2 linked regions of the Drosophila melanogaster genome follow. The protein of the gene in region 2 purifies or fractionates together with the protein of the main gene of each other region. This does not show direct contact. Each region holds a gene or a part of one and is shown on either strand. Other genes may lie near its edges.

The links. The genes of interacting proteins can lie anywhere in the genome.
Region 1: the proteins of dpr10 (region 2) and cDIP purify together in Drosophila melanogaster (affinity purification with western blotting; 2 studies listed by BioGRID). This does not show direct contact.

The regions. Positions count from the first base shown.
Region 1 is NT_033777.3:21,157,016-21,164,254, forward strand, and holds cDIP (common Dpr-interacting protein), read right to left. Parts: upstream 4,078-7,239; 5' UTR 4,040-4,077; coding exon 2,375-4,039; 3' UTR 2,223-2,374; downstream 1-2,222. Other genes in the region: CG5810 (uncharacterized protein), read left to right, coding at 6,775-7,239.
Region 2 is NT_037436.4:10,181,319-10,189,101, forward strand, and holds the start of dpr10 (defective proboscis extension response 10), read right to left. Parts: upstream 4,791-7,783; 5' UTR 4,607-4,790; intron 1,213-4,606; exon of another isoform or gene 1,198-1,212; 5' UTR 965-1,197; coding exon 925-964; intron 1-924.

The sequences.
Region 1 (7,239 bases), on a different chromosome or scaffold from region 2:
TCCTGCTGCTCCTCTTCTTCTTCTCACCCCTTCCATTGTCCGATCACTGCGTGTTCCAATTGGAAAGTCGAGTCCAAAGTGGAAGCGCGCGCCCGAATAAATTTTCATTTTGATTCTTGATTTTTATGGCTCGCATTCTTTGCTTTTATTAAGATCGATTCGGTTGTTGTTGCTGGTGTTTTCGTGTTTTGTGATTTATTTGGTGTTGAACCAAATGGCTGATAATTAGCCGAGTGAAATGAGTGCTGTAATCTAATCTGAAAAGTCAACACCTCGAAAGTGTTTGGACATCCAGCGAAAAGTCGTCATTATAATTTCGCTCTAATCTCTGAATATACACTCATAACATATATATAACATATAATGCGCCAACACAACCAGCTAATTCGTTACGTCTCTTCTTATTTACAATAATTTCTTAGCGCAGCTAAATGCCTAATCGCGAAATTGTTTACAAAAGTTTTGTTTTCCACCCGTTCAGGTGAACGTGAATGTGTGTTAGTGTGTACGTGAATGTGCGGATGTGTGTATGCGTTCCTGTGTCCGTGAAATTAATTTTTTAACCGAAATTCGACAATTGTGATTCTGCAATCTGCCAGCGCGAATCAGAAACATCCAATTACTGATAAAAACACACAAAAGGTGGGTGACAATTTATTTTCTTTTTATAATTATCGAAAACCTGATTTACTTCACTGCCTTTATTTTCTTTTTGTGTTGATATGAGCGCTTGACGTTTGATTTTCCCCGAAACTTTTCATCTGCCTTTTGTGTCGGTGACTAAGTTGAGTGGGTGGGAAATTCCCCCAGTTCGCGGCGACGCTGGGAAAATACCCAAAATCGCCCAAAATTTTTTCATAATTAGATTTTCAGAATGTGTAAACAATTTTATTAAATTTTTTTATATTTAGAAAACATTTAATAAAAGCGATCAATTATGTAATAGATAGTGTATAACAGTATCAATAACAGGAATAACAGTATTAAATCAGGCAATGTAAAATATAATAACATAAAACAATTCAAAGGGTCTTACCTGAATTCTTCATACGACTTTTTTTTGTCGAAACTCATTTGAAGTTATGGTTATAAAATCGTGAGTGGATTTCTTTAAATGTAAAAGTACCCTATCACGATGCCTACTACATTTTAGACATTGACTAATTAAGTAAGCACACTTCAAGCGAATGCCCAGAAATTAAAAAAAGATAGCTACTGAAGTTGGCAATCAGGAAATGTCGAACTTTGATCTGCGGATACAACTACTAGAAGTCGCAGATAGTCAGTCGCACTATATGGTAAAATTGAATGTTCGCACTTACAGCTGCCACGATTTGTGTGCCGCCAATTACCTTAAAACAAAAATTGCACTGCCAATGTAAACAAAACGTATTTGAAACTCGTGTTCGAATGGATATACATATGTATGTATGGATTTATTCCTAATCACATGCACACGATACTCCGGATCAGCAGATCGACCAGTGATCGTCGAGATCCGTGAAATTGGATTTGTTTCTACTTTCCGTCCTTACGAAGTGGCTGCACTGAAATCGAAACTGTTTGTTTATCTTAGCAATTAGTTAGCCATAAATGTGCGAGTAAGCGAATAGAAGGGATAAAGCATAAATAATTAAAACTGTTCGCATTAGCAGATGGCAATAAAATAACTCGGTTTCTGGTCCATTCGATCGAATTCAATATTGTTGTTTAGTTTCCGAAAATATTGGTTTTGTAATTGACTTGACTTTGTTCAATTCAACTCAAGTTCCCCGAGCCCCACCATCTTGTCTTCGCCCTCCAGTTTTCTTCTCGTTTTTCCATTTTGGTTCGCCAGCCCGAGTTGAACGAACCTCTTTCAATATCTTTCAGAAAAAGAACCCAACTTTGCTTTGCTCGAAAATCAATATTATTGTTTAAATATTATTCTACGTATACGACACAGCGAGCAATAAATATTTACTAGATGTGCTCATGTTGCAAATTGTATTGGTTTTTTGGGGTTGAGTATGCAAAATCAGCAGGGAAATGGAGCAGAAATTGTTTTCGAGATTAGGAATTGAATAGGCGTAGAAAAAAATGATATTCTAGGAAACTAAATCTTAAACAAAGACGAAAAGCCTTCCTGTTTTGTTAGATTATGGTTCCAACTTTGTATATTATCAAGAACTGGTAAAAAAAACATACACGCGAATTCTTTAGTGGAATTCTTCCAACAATTTAAAAAATGATTTATTTATTGGATCGAAAGATTTTATGTTTAAAATTAAGAAGCTTTAGGAAATACTTCAAATATTAATTATAATGTATACATATAATTGTAAAGCTTTGAAAATGTAGTGATCACATAAAAAATGGGCCATATTTAACAACTTCAAACGGACAAGGTCACTTGACTCCAAACAGTTTTGTTGAGCACTTCAAAGGCCTGAATTTGTTCATTCAATTGGGCCAGTTTACTGAATATCAAATCGAACTTGGAATCAAAGTGCTGCACCACTGCTTTCAGTTCATCGCGCAGTTTGTCCACCTCGCTGGGATCAGAACTACTTGTTATGGGCGAGGACTCTACGCTGGCGGAGATTTCCGAAGAGGAGGAGGAGTCCACACCCTCTTTTTCGGGCAAGCGATACATGCAGGCTATTCCGTGAAAGTATTCCCCCGGAAAATCGGGATCGTAGTTATCCACGGTATAGGCAATGCCATTGGCACGAATGAGCACATCCATTATGTTTCTCAGGCTGAAGCAGTTCCAGTTATTTCCATGAATATAGAAGTGCGTTAGTTGCGTGAGCGTGGGGAACGCGGATGGATCGATTTCCGTCAAATTATTGCCGGATATGTCAAGTTTCTGCAAATTTTGCATACCCTGCAACGCCTCCAGCGGCAGTTCCATCTGGCCCGTATTCCGCAGCACCAGCATCTCCAGATGTGGCGTCCGCCAACCGTCGGGCAACTGACCCAGGTTCGGATTGTCCGCCACATCCAGGTGCCGGAGTCTGGGCACGCGGCTCAACGACGCCAGCTGAACCAGCGAGTTGTTGCGCAGCACCAAATGCTCCAGTGCCTCGGAGGCGGGAAAGTACAGCTCGCGCACGCGATTGTCGCTCAGATCGACATTCGTCACCGATCCGTACAAATTGACACGGTCCAGCGAGCAATTGCGAGCGGTCAAATTGGTGGCGTTAATGTTCAGCAGTAGAACGACCAGCTCGGGGTTATTCGATAGATCCACATACTGCATCTGATGGTGTCGTCCGCGGGATCGAAAGGCATACTCGCCCACCTCTCGCAGTCGATTGTTCTGCATTGCGACCGACAAAAGGTCCGGATTGTGGGCAAATAAATCGCTCTCAATGGTGGTCAGTTGATTACCGGCCAGTCCCACGTGCCGCAGACTCTTCAGTCCGGCAAATACGTCCGCGGCTAAAGCCTCCAGGCGATTCTCTGTGAGATCCAGGTACTGTAATTTCAGGAGATTATCAAACGCACCCGCCTGCAGTTTGCCTAGTTTGTTGCGATTCAGGAAGATAAACTCCAAGTTTCCTGCTCCCCTGAAGGTTTTCGTGGGCAGCACTTCGATGTGATTATCGCTGAGCAGAAGAATCACCAGCTTATCCGCACCAATGGAGAAGTTCTCCCAGTAAATGAAGCGGATGCCACAGCCGCGCATGTCCAGCTCACTGACCTCTAGTGTGTAAAATAAGCGCAGGGGAAAATTGGTGAAGGTGCAGTTCTCGAAGATCAGGGTTCGCGAGTGCTCCTCATCGCCCACTTCGTAGGTGGTGCCATCCTCGGCAATCCGCACCTCCGTTGGCAGATCAAAGGTGGCCTTCTCGTCCTCTCCCGCAAACTCAAAGCCCCTGCAGCTGGTCACCTTGCCCTCCGTCTGGCAATGACCTTCCAAGCTGGAGACCAGCACTATTCGGGATGAGCCACTATCCACATCAGCATCCGCGTCCTCATCCGTAGTAGCTGTGGCCGCCAATGAGATCAGCAAATAGCTGCAGAGGAACGGCAGACAATTCCGGACGTACATTTGGCGTGCTCCACGATTCACGTTCGACCTGAAACTGATTCCAAACGTTGACCGCCAAACGCCTGGCCAGATAAGCTCCTCTATAATGCTCAAATAACGATCATCAGTTCTATATAATTGCCATCCCATTCTATTCATGGTGTTCTGATTTTGCGAAAATAAATATGGTTCATCTGTGGCGGGTACAGCGCATTTCGAAAATGTAAGGCAGGGTTTTTTTCTTTTTTTTGAAATCGGATTGAAATACTATTTCTATTTCGAAGAATTGAGATGCTTTGGAAATCACTGCTGACTAATTAATAGATTTAATTACAATTATTTGTCTGGGAACTCCTTTTAAAAGAAATTAACATCTTTTGCTGTACGAGAGAGATGAAAATCGGTTTGTTTTTTTTTGTACCTATCATTATTTTGACACTTGTCTGTGCTGCTTTTCCGTTTATTATTCATGATTTTTTGCTGCTCTATGGAAGTTCTCGCTCTGTTGGCTCCATTCAAAACTCACAGACTTTGAAAAAAAAAACAAAACTTTGTACAATATCTGTGGAGCAATTCCCACTCATTTCCAGTGTGTTCTCTTATCATGAAGTGTTTACTTAGCGATTTGCTGAACAAAAGGTGGAAATCTCTTTTGGCTGCTGATAGTGGACATGAGGCCAGACATTCGCCCATTTTTATGTAAGAGTATTTTCATTGGGGCCCATCCATCTTTGGCTTTTACCATCGAAAATATAGGCGCGTGGAAACGTTGCTTAAAATACCTTCTATATAATTTACACAACAGCCATTTAGCATTTTGTTGGCACTGCCTTGCGTTGTGTAGTTTTGCTGATGATTGCCCGAATGACTCATTATTTATCAGGCGAACAATTCAGTGGAGGGCATTTGAGTTTCGGTTTGATAAGAGCAAACGAACTTCCGTTAACTACTTTGTCGTCTGCATTTATTCCTAGTCTTATTTTTAAAGCAATCAGGCAAGAATGTAGGCACCTTTACACGAAAAACATTCGTAAATATAGCGAAACCAGAACTTTCGCCTGCGAAGCGGTGACATGTCCAGTGGAAAAATGTGTAAAATATTTAGCCAATTATTTAGCCAACATGCCAGCGGTTTTGAGAACACGTTCAACCTGCTTTCTCAGTCGTTCAATTTGCCAGTTGCAGCTTAGCGGGCGAAAACAAAAAGATTATGACAGGTAGAGCCTTATTAATTTGTATGCAAACAAATTTATACGCTTGTTGAAATGTTAAAAATTAATTTTCCATTCGTTTGCGTTGGGATTTTCTCGGCTTTGGCCGCCTGGGCAAACAAACAATTTGAATATCGATGGCTAATTTTTTTCACTTTATGTATTCACAATTGATCTGCCTGTTTGCATTGGGCTTATTATGAGCCAATGGCTTTTAAATTACTCGACTCAAGACGACTTTTGTTCTTTGCATGGCATTTGCCATAGCTGTATCTGTATCTATTGTAGCTGTGTATTGTATCTCAATTGAAACGGCATGACTTCGTTTAGCGTCTTTTTTTCACTTTTTCGCCTGTGCCCCCTTTGTTGAATTCAATTTGCCGCAATTACTTTGCATACAAGTTTCGAGAAATAAAAAAAAAAAAACAAAGAGTGAAAATTACCAGGCTTTTATTCTGTCGAGACTTTGTCCCCGCCGTCTGTACTTTATTCAAATCAAATTCGCCCAATAGTTTAGCAGTGTAAACAAATGCGATATAGAAATATATTAAATCAGAACATATAGCGCACCATTTTACGCCTCTATTGTGGGTGCTTTTATATGGCGCCGTCGGTTTATGGCACTTGATTTATTTCATTGGGTTTATTGGTCATTCGAACGCTAAATGCTCAGGATATCCAAAGGTTGTTCCACCCATCTGACTGCAATGATGACGCAACTAGATGGTGATATAACTGGAAAATGAGCTAATTGCCATTCAAATTGGCAAGTTTATGTCCAAGTGCTTTTGTAAATTTGTTCTAAGGCGGAAATGCTTTCAATAACTATGGCTTTATAAATAATATCCAATTTTTTGCTACGAAACAAGTTAGTTTATATCAGTGTAGACTGATTTTATGAACATATTTATAGCTTAATTAGATGCAGCAAATGCGGGGAAATACATTATTCGCTTTAAAGATAAGAAATCAAGCTAAGAAAGTGAAGATAGTTAAGATAGTTAAAGTTTCAATCGAAACCATATGCAGTCCTTAGTCCATCAAAAGATATTAATCTCAATTAACTGCTGTAAACAATTCCCATGATTATCAGAGCGACAGGCCAGACGTAATGTAGCCATACATTGGCTTACTTTTGCAATGGCAATACATCGTCCACAAAACAGCAGCCATTCCATATCAGTTGGCACAACTGGGCCATAAACTATAAACCATAACTACGAGTATGTGTTATGAAGTGGAGGATCGCGAGATCGTGCTTATCGGCCGGGTATTATGACAAAAGCCTGATAATATTTCCCAGCGAATCGTAGAAGCAAAAACAAAGCAAATATATTCATTGAGAGGAACAATAAAATTTTATTGACAAAAAATCGAACCAGATTGTGGAGGGGGTCGACAGAAAAACAAACAAACAAACTAGCGCCTAAAGACCTGTTTTCGCTTTTTTTTGTTTTTTTTTTTGGCTGGTTTCTGAAGGTTGTGTTCTGGTTTTGTATTAAAATGCCCCCCAAGCCAAAAATTGCTCAGTCTTTTAAAGCCAAGATGCGGATGCTAAACTATCTGAACTATATTTTAATCGCTGTGATTGCTTTTGCGACTTGTGAGTCACAAAAACTCGAGGAAATTGCAATTGATAGTTTGGATTGCCGCGAAAATACGTGCACGAATTTGAAATACCCTTCTGCTTCAGCAGTTGCCTACTTCTCAGAAAATGTGACTAAACATTTGAGAAAGTACGAAACTCTCGTTCTTCACAGCTCCGATTTGGCCAATTTGCCGAGAAAAATCTTTTTGAACCTTCCTCAACTTGTGGAATTCCATGTATTGGAGTGTGAGCTTCAGCAAATTGAAAGTGTATGTTTTGATGGTGCCAAGAACTTGAAAAGATTGAATTTTGGAGGTAATGCCCTGCGAGTTTTGGATAGCAACACTTTTGAATTGGCCACTCAACTGGAGGAACTCAACTTATCGGACAATCAATTGGAGGATCTGCCCACCACCATATTT
Region 2 (7,783 bases):
CACCCATTCCTCCAACCACCCACAACTGTTGCTGTCCGCCTGATTGAGCGCACAGTTTGCGGCTCATAAAGTCGGAGTCTCGGGCATAATTACACTTTTCAATTATGCATAATTATGTGTAGGAAGCAATTTGTGTGTGTTTGAAGCGCGTTTAAAATTTAAAGTGCAGTGACACCAGCAACTCATCCTTAACCCCTGAATCCACCACACTCCGCACAGCATAACCCTTAACCCCTCATTCCTCACCGGAGCTGCTGTTATGCGATATGCCCTTAAAAACGACCCCAAGCGACCAGCAAGCGACCGCATTTGTTTGCTTTGGCTCCGCGTTGGTCTCTCAATTTTACACTGAGAAAAATATAAGCTTAATTTTATCCGAAATTGAAATATATTTTATATACATATACATCGAAATATTTATAATGTTTGTTTTTGTCACAACTATTTAAGTATTTCTTAAAAGATCAAAACTGTATGTGCCTATTTCAGTTCAAAAGAAGTGTTATCAATTAATAATATTAAAAATATATGGTTGTAGTTAAGAATTAATAGTAAGTTATTAAAAAGTTATTATTTGATCAGTTCAGTACTAGACTTTCCTCTGCGTGTACCCATCGCTTTCACTGCTCCTGCTGCGGTTGGCAGTGGCCATGTCAGAACAGCAGCACAGGATTGCAAGGACAACGCAGCAGGCAGAAACATAAATCAGGATTTTCGCAGCCCGAACCACAAATGTTTTTAAAAGGATTCAGCGCCCGGCGAGGCGGCAACAATAACAACCTTGAGCGGGTTGATGGAGGCCTATATTGTATATGTATATAATAGGTATATATATTGCTGATAATCTTATGCATGCTTAAGCAGACTGCGCTTTATGGGATGAGTTGTGTGTGCTGGCAGGATCCTGTGGGGAATTTGACTTACCCGTCAGGCAGCAGAAAAGTGCCGTCCACAGGGTCAACATCTTGCGATGACCCACTCGATTTGTGGTTATTTTTTAGGGCTGCAGCAACAACCTTTGCACTCTGCTTCAAATTCTCCTTCGATTCTTTTTTCTTTCACTTTATCAGGCTTGCCTTTGTCCTATCAATTCGCACTTGGCTTTGCGAGTTTTGATCTACGGCAATATATGTTTGTTTTGAACTCGTTTTTTTCACTCACAACACTTTTTTAAGTCTTCCTTTCTATTAGCTTCATCTACAGAGAGAAAAACTATAAGTCGCTTTAAAACATGCTTGCGTTATTAGCTTTTATTACAATTATTACAAAAAAGGTTGAAGATTGCTATTCCTACAAAAATTATCTTCAATTTTTGTAAAATTAAAAAACGTTATAAAAGATAGTTCTACACAGCGCAATAAATATAAATTAAGACTGTAGCTTTGTATGCAAATTTTTCTCTCTGCAATTGCGCCTGTTTTCAATTTTCTCTTTTCGTTTCGCGTGAATTAAACACTTGCAATGACATTTAAAACACTTAATATCAATGGCAGACAATTTAATCCTTTAACGTTCGTTTGTTGAACTTTTTCAGAATCGTCCTTGTTGTTTTTCGTCCTTGTTGCTGCTGCCGCTGTTGTTGCTGCTGCTTGTTGCAATTGCAGTTGCACTTGTGTTTGCTCTTTTGGCTCGTCCTAGGCCGAAATAATATTTTTTGTTGCCCGACTCGTTTCGCATTTCCATGGACAACTTTTTATTTTCATTCCGCCTGGAACGTACCCAAAAAGAATTGATTTTCGTCTGGGGCTAAAGAGCTTTAAAAGGAATTTCATTTGTCCGGGTCTCGTTGTTTTTTTTTTTTCGTCGCATCACCCTTGATGTCGTGGAACATGAATTGATTAAATTTGTGTTGATTTTAGGGCTGATAATGGATAATAACAGACTTTAATGGATAATAAACTATGGTAAAAACAAGGATTTTCTCGAAGAGATTCTAGAAATTCTGCTAACCAATAAAACAGCTCTTTCTCTAAGCAATCCACTATTGATTTCAATAGGTGAGTGGCCTAAAATGGAATCCTTTTCCCTCTCCATGAGCGCACAAAAGTTTACACCACAAATTAGAAGAACATTACACGCCCAATCCAGTTTCCCTTGAAGGACATGCTCACATCATACAATTAATAATGGTTAATGCATAAACCAGAATCAATTTTTGACAGAAGTTGGATTGAAGTGTCTCTGGTCAGCTGCCCTTGCATATTTCATTTCCTAAAACTTCGGTGGCATGTGTCCGGATCCGAAAATAATTCAACGCCCCCACGACCCCAAAATTATGAGTCGTTTTTGGAGAACTGTTCAAAGCAGTAACGCCCCATTTTCCGGCTGAGGCTATTTTCAGACCTGCTGCCATCCATCCATTCACTTTGGCATCAATCAATTGCCCTGCCCAGGGGAAAAACTTTTATGCTACTCGGGCACTTCTCCTCACATCTAATTTGTTAAACATTTGCTGGGGAATTGCCTTTTTCACACGCCCCTTGAAACACGGTGTGTGTTTTCCTTTCGAATTTTTCCCTCTTGCACTGTGTGAAATTAATTAAAACTTAATTAATTGCAAACTCCGCTGCACCAAAGAGACGACAGACAGACTAATGAGTAGGGGGATGGGATTAAGGTCTGAGTTCAACTGCAGGACTCATTCGACATGCTGAGAAAAAATTAATCAGCCGGTACAGTGAAACAATGGAAAGATTTTCGCATGAAACAATGGAAACTAATTATGTATAATGGAAACAATTGAATAAGATTTTGTATAACAATTATTTAGATTTATTGATTAAAAATAAACAAATATTATAAAAGGACTTCAAAAAAGAACTTCAAACAATAAAAAATTTATGAATCATCAATGCACAAACTCTTGCCATCATAAATCATTGATATAAAATATACATTTTAATGCAATATTGCTAAGCAGCTTATACGATATCTCATGTATATATTTTAAAAAATATATAGTTTTAAAGCAAATCCTTAAAAAGGATCTGATCCCTGATCTCTAATTTTTTTGCCTGCAGAAACCTCTGTGTGCGACTTCAATCAGAAGTGGCTGCTGCTGACATGCTGCTCCTGTTGGGAATCCTGGCTGGAATCCTTGGCCACTTGTCACTGTTGCCTCCGTAATGGAATTAGGGAGGGGCCAGGGGTTCCAGAATGTGCGAACCAGGAGGGCCAGGTTCTCGAGGGAAGGATTCGGGATTCAGGGACGGAGTCTGAGACTCCTGCCAACGTCAGCAATGTCTCTCAAAAGTGTTAACGCACTCAATTGCTACTATTCCCATCTCCTTCGTTGCCACTATCCCCCCTCTCTTTCTGAGAGTCCTCTTGCCACTCTTTCTAATTGTAAGCGTCTGCATTTTGCCTCTCAGCTTGGGGGCAGTGTCTGCTCTAATGTTTAGTAACTGTGATTAGGAGGCAACTCTAGTTCCGGGTGGGCTTAATTTGCCCTACCCACACCCACCCAATGCCCGTGGGCAATCTTTGCTTTTGTTTCTGCCCCATTGTGTGCCGGTTAATTCCTGCTGTATGAATATTTTATTGAGAAAGGGTTTCACATTTTATTGGCTACATGGCATTATGTGCGAGAACAAAGAAAGGAAACAATTTAATTGTGTTTGGGGATGTCAGGCAAGGATTGCACATAAGCTCGTGGCCTCAAAAGTTGATACCACAACACAATGGTGCTGGGGCGGGCAAAAGTAAAATCGTTGAAAAGCCAAAGTGCTTGGCACTCGACAAAACTTTTCCATCAACAACTGCAGTTGAGACAAGCGAAAGTTTTTTCCCAAGGAAACTTAATTTTCCCCAACAGCCACAACATCTTATCATACCCATACGAGAGATATATTTCGGTTCTTGCGGCGACGCACATTGCGCATACGCACTGTGATCAGTCTGTCGTAAATTTCAATGCACACTTGTTTTCCGTTAATATTTTATGGGTTTTCTATTAATTTTTGTCACATTCTTTTAGTGTCTCCCCTCGGCCGGAATATTAGATTACACAGAAATGAATGTATTAACGCTCGATATTTGTGGCAGCGCTTTTTTTGTTTTGACGCAGATCAAAGATGGTTTGGTTCTGTTTTTTGTTTGGCATTTGTGTGTTGTTTTAATTTGTTAATTTGTATTTGGGGTCTGGGCTCCCCTTTGGCGGTCTAAATATAAAACAACTTAATTTGCTGCATGCTAATGAGATGGCCAAGGGGCGGGGCTGGAGGACGTTGTGTGGGCGTTTAACACTTTTATAATTTGTTTGTCCGCAGACAGAATTCTTTTCCTGCATTTTTTCTGGCCCCACATTTGGCAAGCAGCTGACACGCACCGAATTTCGTTAGATTTCTGATTACTTTTCTTTTTTAGGTGTATAATTTTTGGAGACGATGTCGTAAAATATTCGCGTGCCGAAAGCGTTTTAGCTTAACAATAAGAGCAATAGCAGCAACAGCAGTAACAGTAACTGGAATAACAAAAAAAAAGCGACAAAAGGTCATTCAATTTTCGACTGCCGGCAATGGGGCAATGAGGCTTTTCCTGCGTTTTCACACGTTTTCCAAAATTTACGACCCAATTGTGCCCGCTTTTCTTATCCGTTTGCACTCACACTCTCTAGCCTCGAGTCACAGAAACACACGCACATGCACACACACACACATACACTATAGTCCGGAAAATGTCGCGCCTCACGTATTTGGGCCTCACATTTCCCTCAACTTTTTATTCGGATTTTCACGCGCTTTTCCGCGCCTTCGCCTTTCGTTCACCGTCGATGTCGCGCTGAAACTGAAACAGAAACTGAAACTGATTTCTGGCAGCAGTGGAGCATTTGTTGGGGCCTCCGGGGGGGATTCCCGAACTCATACGAGCCTTTATCAGCGACGCTTCGGGTTTGTTGTCTTCGGCTCGGGAAAAGTCGTTGGAAAAGAGGGACGGAAAAATCGTGTGCCGAGCATTTCAGCTGAATTCGCCGCATTTATCTCTCTTAATTTCCTCTTCTCTTTTAATCACAACACTATGTTCACTTTCAAGGTCTTACAATAAAAGGTTTCAAATAGTTTTGGAAATCCGCGATTATTTTTTTAGTGGCAGCAGGGTGTTTTTTGAGGTCGAATTATGTTCGCAAAGCAAATAAAAGCGGACTTTACGATCCTGTTTTTAAGGGGTTAAGTTAATTTTAATGCAGTGAAGTTAAGTGACACGTAGGGATTCCAGTTCTTAAAAGCAGAGTAATATTTCAGTTTATGTTTCAGCTAGAGTGCTTTATTATAGGTCTCTTAAAAAAAAATAATCTAAGCCATTTTAGTTGAAACTTGAAATAAAAAGAATTAATCCGGTTGAGGGAGTGAAGGATCATAAAAAGAACATAATCACTATAGCAAAACCCAAAAACAACATAATGTCTTATTGATCCCATTTATTTTTTACTTGCTTATATGCTTACTTAACTGAATTTAGGAAACTATGTTATTTCATATACTTCCATAAGATCCTAAGTTCAATTTTAATAAATGAGAAAAGTTATAATATTTTTCCCAAGAACATATTCATTTATTTTAGATAATTTAATATTAAATTATCATTATTATATACGCTTTGTGCATGCTACGTTCTCATTTATTTATATTTAGGTACTTCGTCTCTATAAGGGAAGCAAACCGTCTGCCTTGGACAATATCTTGAGCAAGACTGACAGACTTAGGTCAGTATCAAAGAGAAATTGTATGGAATTTGGCAAAGAGTGCGCATGCACTGAACAATTCTTTGGTGCTCTTAGACTAGCTCTTCCACGATTTAACAGCGAATTGGATAATATGGCCAGAAGGCAGGGATTTCAATAATATACACTGAAGCTGGCACAAAAAGAGCTAATGACAATATAAATTCGCGCGGCGTATGGATATGCGTGGCAGATGGGAAACTGTGTAGCCGGCTAAGGGATTTCCCGCTCTTTGAAGGGAATGCGGTATCGGGATGATGAAAATCCGGGAAAAGTGGCGGGGTGCAAGCCAGCTGACAGCAGTTATCGCTGGAGCGAAAGGCAGTAATTAGCGTAAATTGAGTTGGTAAAAAGCGCAAGTGTTCAAAATCCACCCACTCAGTTGTGTGACACCCGCACCACCACCCCACATGCCTAGAACCAGCCAAAAACCTCGCCTGCGGCCTTGGGCTTTAGTTGTCCCTTGTTTTTGCGGCTGCTTGTGCTGCTGTGCTGTTGTTGATTATGTGGCAATTAGTTGTCGCTTTTGTGGCAAGCCACGCGGCACTTTCAATCAGAGCATCTTATTCCGACAGCCACATAATGCCCATCCAGGTGGGGCTTAGTGAGCTAATTAAACAAGCCGATTATGGCCCGACATTCCGCTGACCTTGGCCACCTCATGCTGCCATTCAGCATCCACCACCCGCTGTGAGTCCATCTCGGTAAAGTTTACCACAACTCCTAACCAACTCGAGCGCAGAACATTTCTCCAGTTATCAACTTTCTGCACATATTGTCAGAGGTGTTTAAAAGTCTGGGTCACTGTGGGGTTAAGTGGGCGTCGGGGATTCCGGGGGGCGTGGCAGCAGTCTGATGAGCGGCATTCGCTACTTGCTCGGTATTAGAAACTTTGCGAAAAGGCAAAAAACCAAAAGTTTCCAATTTGGTAGCACAGAAAATATTGTTGCAGGAATTTGCTTAACTCCAACTCGACGAATAAAAAATGCACTTCAGAAATTAGGATAAAAATGTAAAACGAAAAAGTGGAAGATATTTCCTAGTATTTCTAGCTTCAGTTCTTGGCTCTTAAAAGCACTTAAAAATAGTTCTAAAATGATTAATGAAGTTCGGTGAAAGCAAATCTTTATTTTACAACTGATTGGCAAAGTAGTTTCAATTTACTTTAATTTCCGCCCAGATCTCCACACATTTGGCAACCTACAAAACATTTACCCTAGCTCAACAACTTGGGGCAAATTCAGTTCATTTGCCAAGCAAAAATTTTATGATTTATGAAAATGTTCTACGTATATTTCTGTTCTCCTCCACTTTCAAATGGCAGGGGCGTGCTGCCGCCCACATTGTAATACAATCAGAATCTGGCTTGGAATTAAATCTGCTAACCGAGTTATTGCGCTCGAAGAGGTAGGGTGATGGCGGGGAATAGAGGTTCTGTTCTGGGGCATTGTTGCATATTCAACAATTGCCACTGCAAACCGACGAAGTAATAACAAATGCAAATTTTAAGCTCAAGAATTTTCGTTTTGCAAAAATTGTGTACATATTTTTTTTTTTGCTCATATTTTACTTATTTGTGCTTTTTGCCATGGGCAACAGCAGGCAAAAGTGTAAATGAGTTTTGCTCGGCCCTCTCTTCCCCCGACAATTGAATTTGTTTAAATTGTTGCCTGCTAAATTTCTGAGGGAGCAGCGGAATCGCATCCATGCATCAGCAATCAGGAATGGGGAGATCCACTAAAACTTCAAATAGGACACATTGTCCTCCTCGCTGAGAGCCAATATAATCAAGCGGCAGCAGCTGGCAAAAAATGATGTGGCATTGTGGGGGTATGTGTGGGATGCACTGCAAAAAAAGGCGAGTAACAGCACTTGCTAATAACTATTTGTTAAATATATTGGAGTTAATAGATTTAAAGATAAGCTTAGGACTTTGAATGGAATTTCGGTGGAATTGGGATCAATTATTTATATTATATATTTAAGTATTTATTTTATCTGTATGGGTGGGGACTGGTGCTGTTGGTGGGCAGCAGGCTGCAGGACTTGGGCACTGATGAGTTC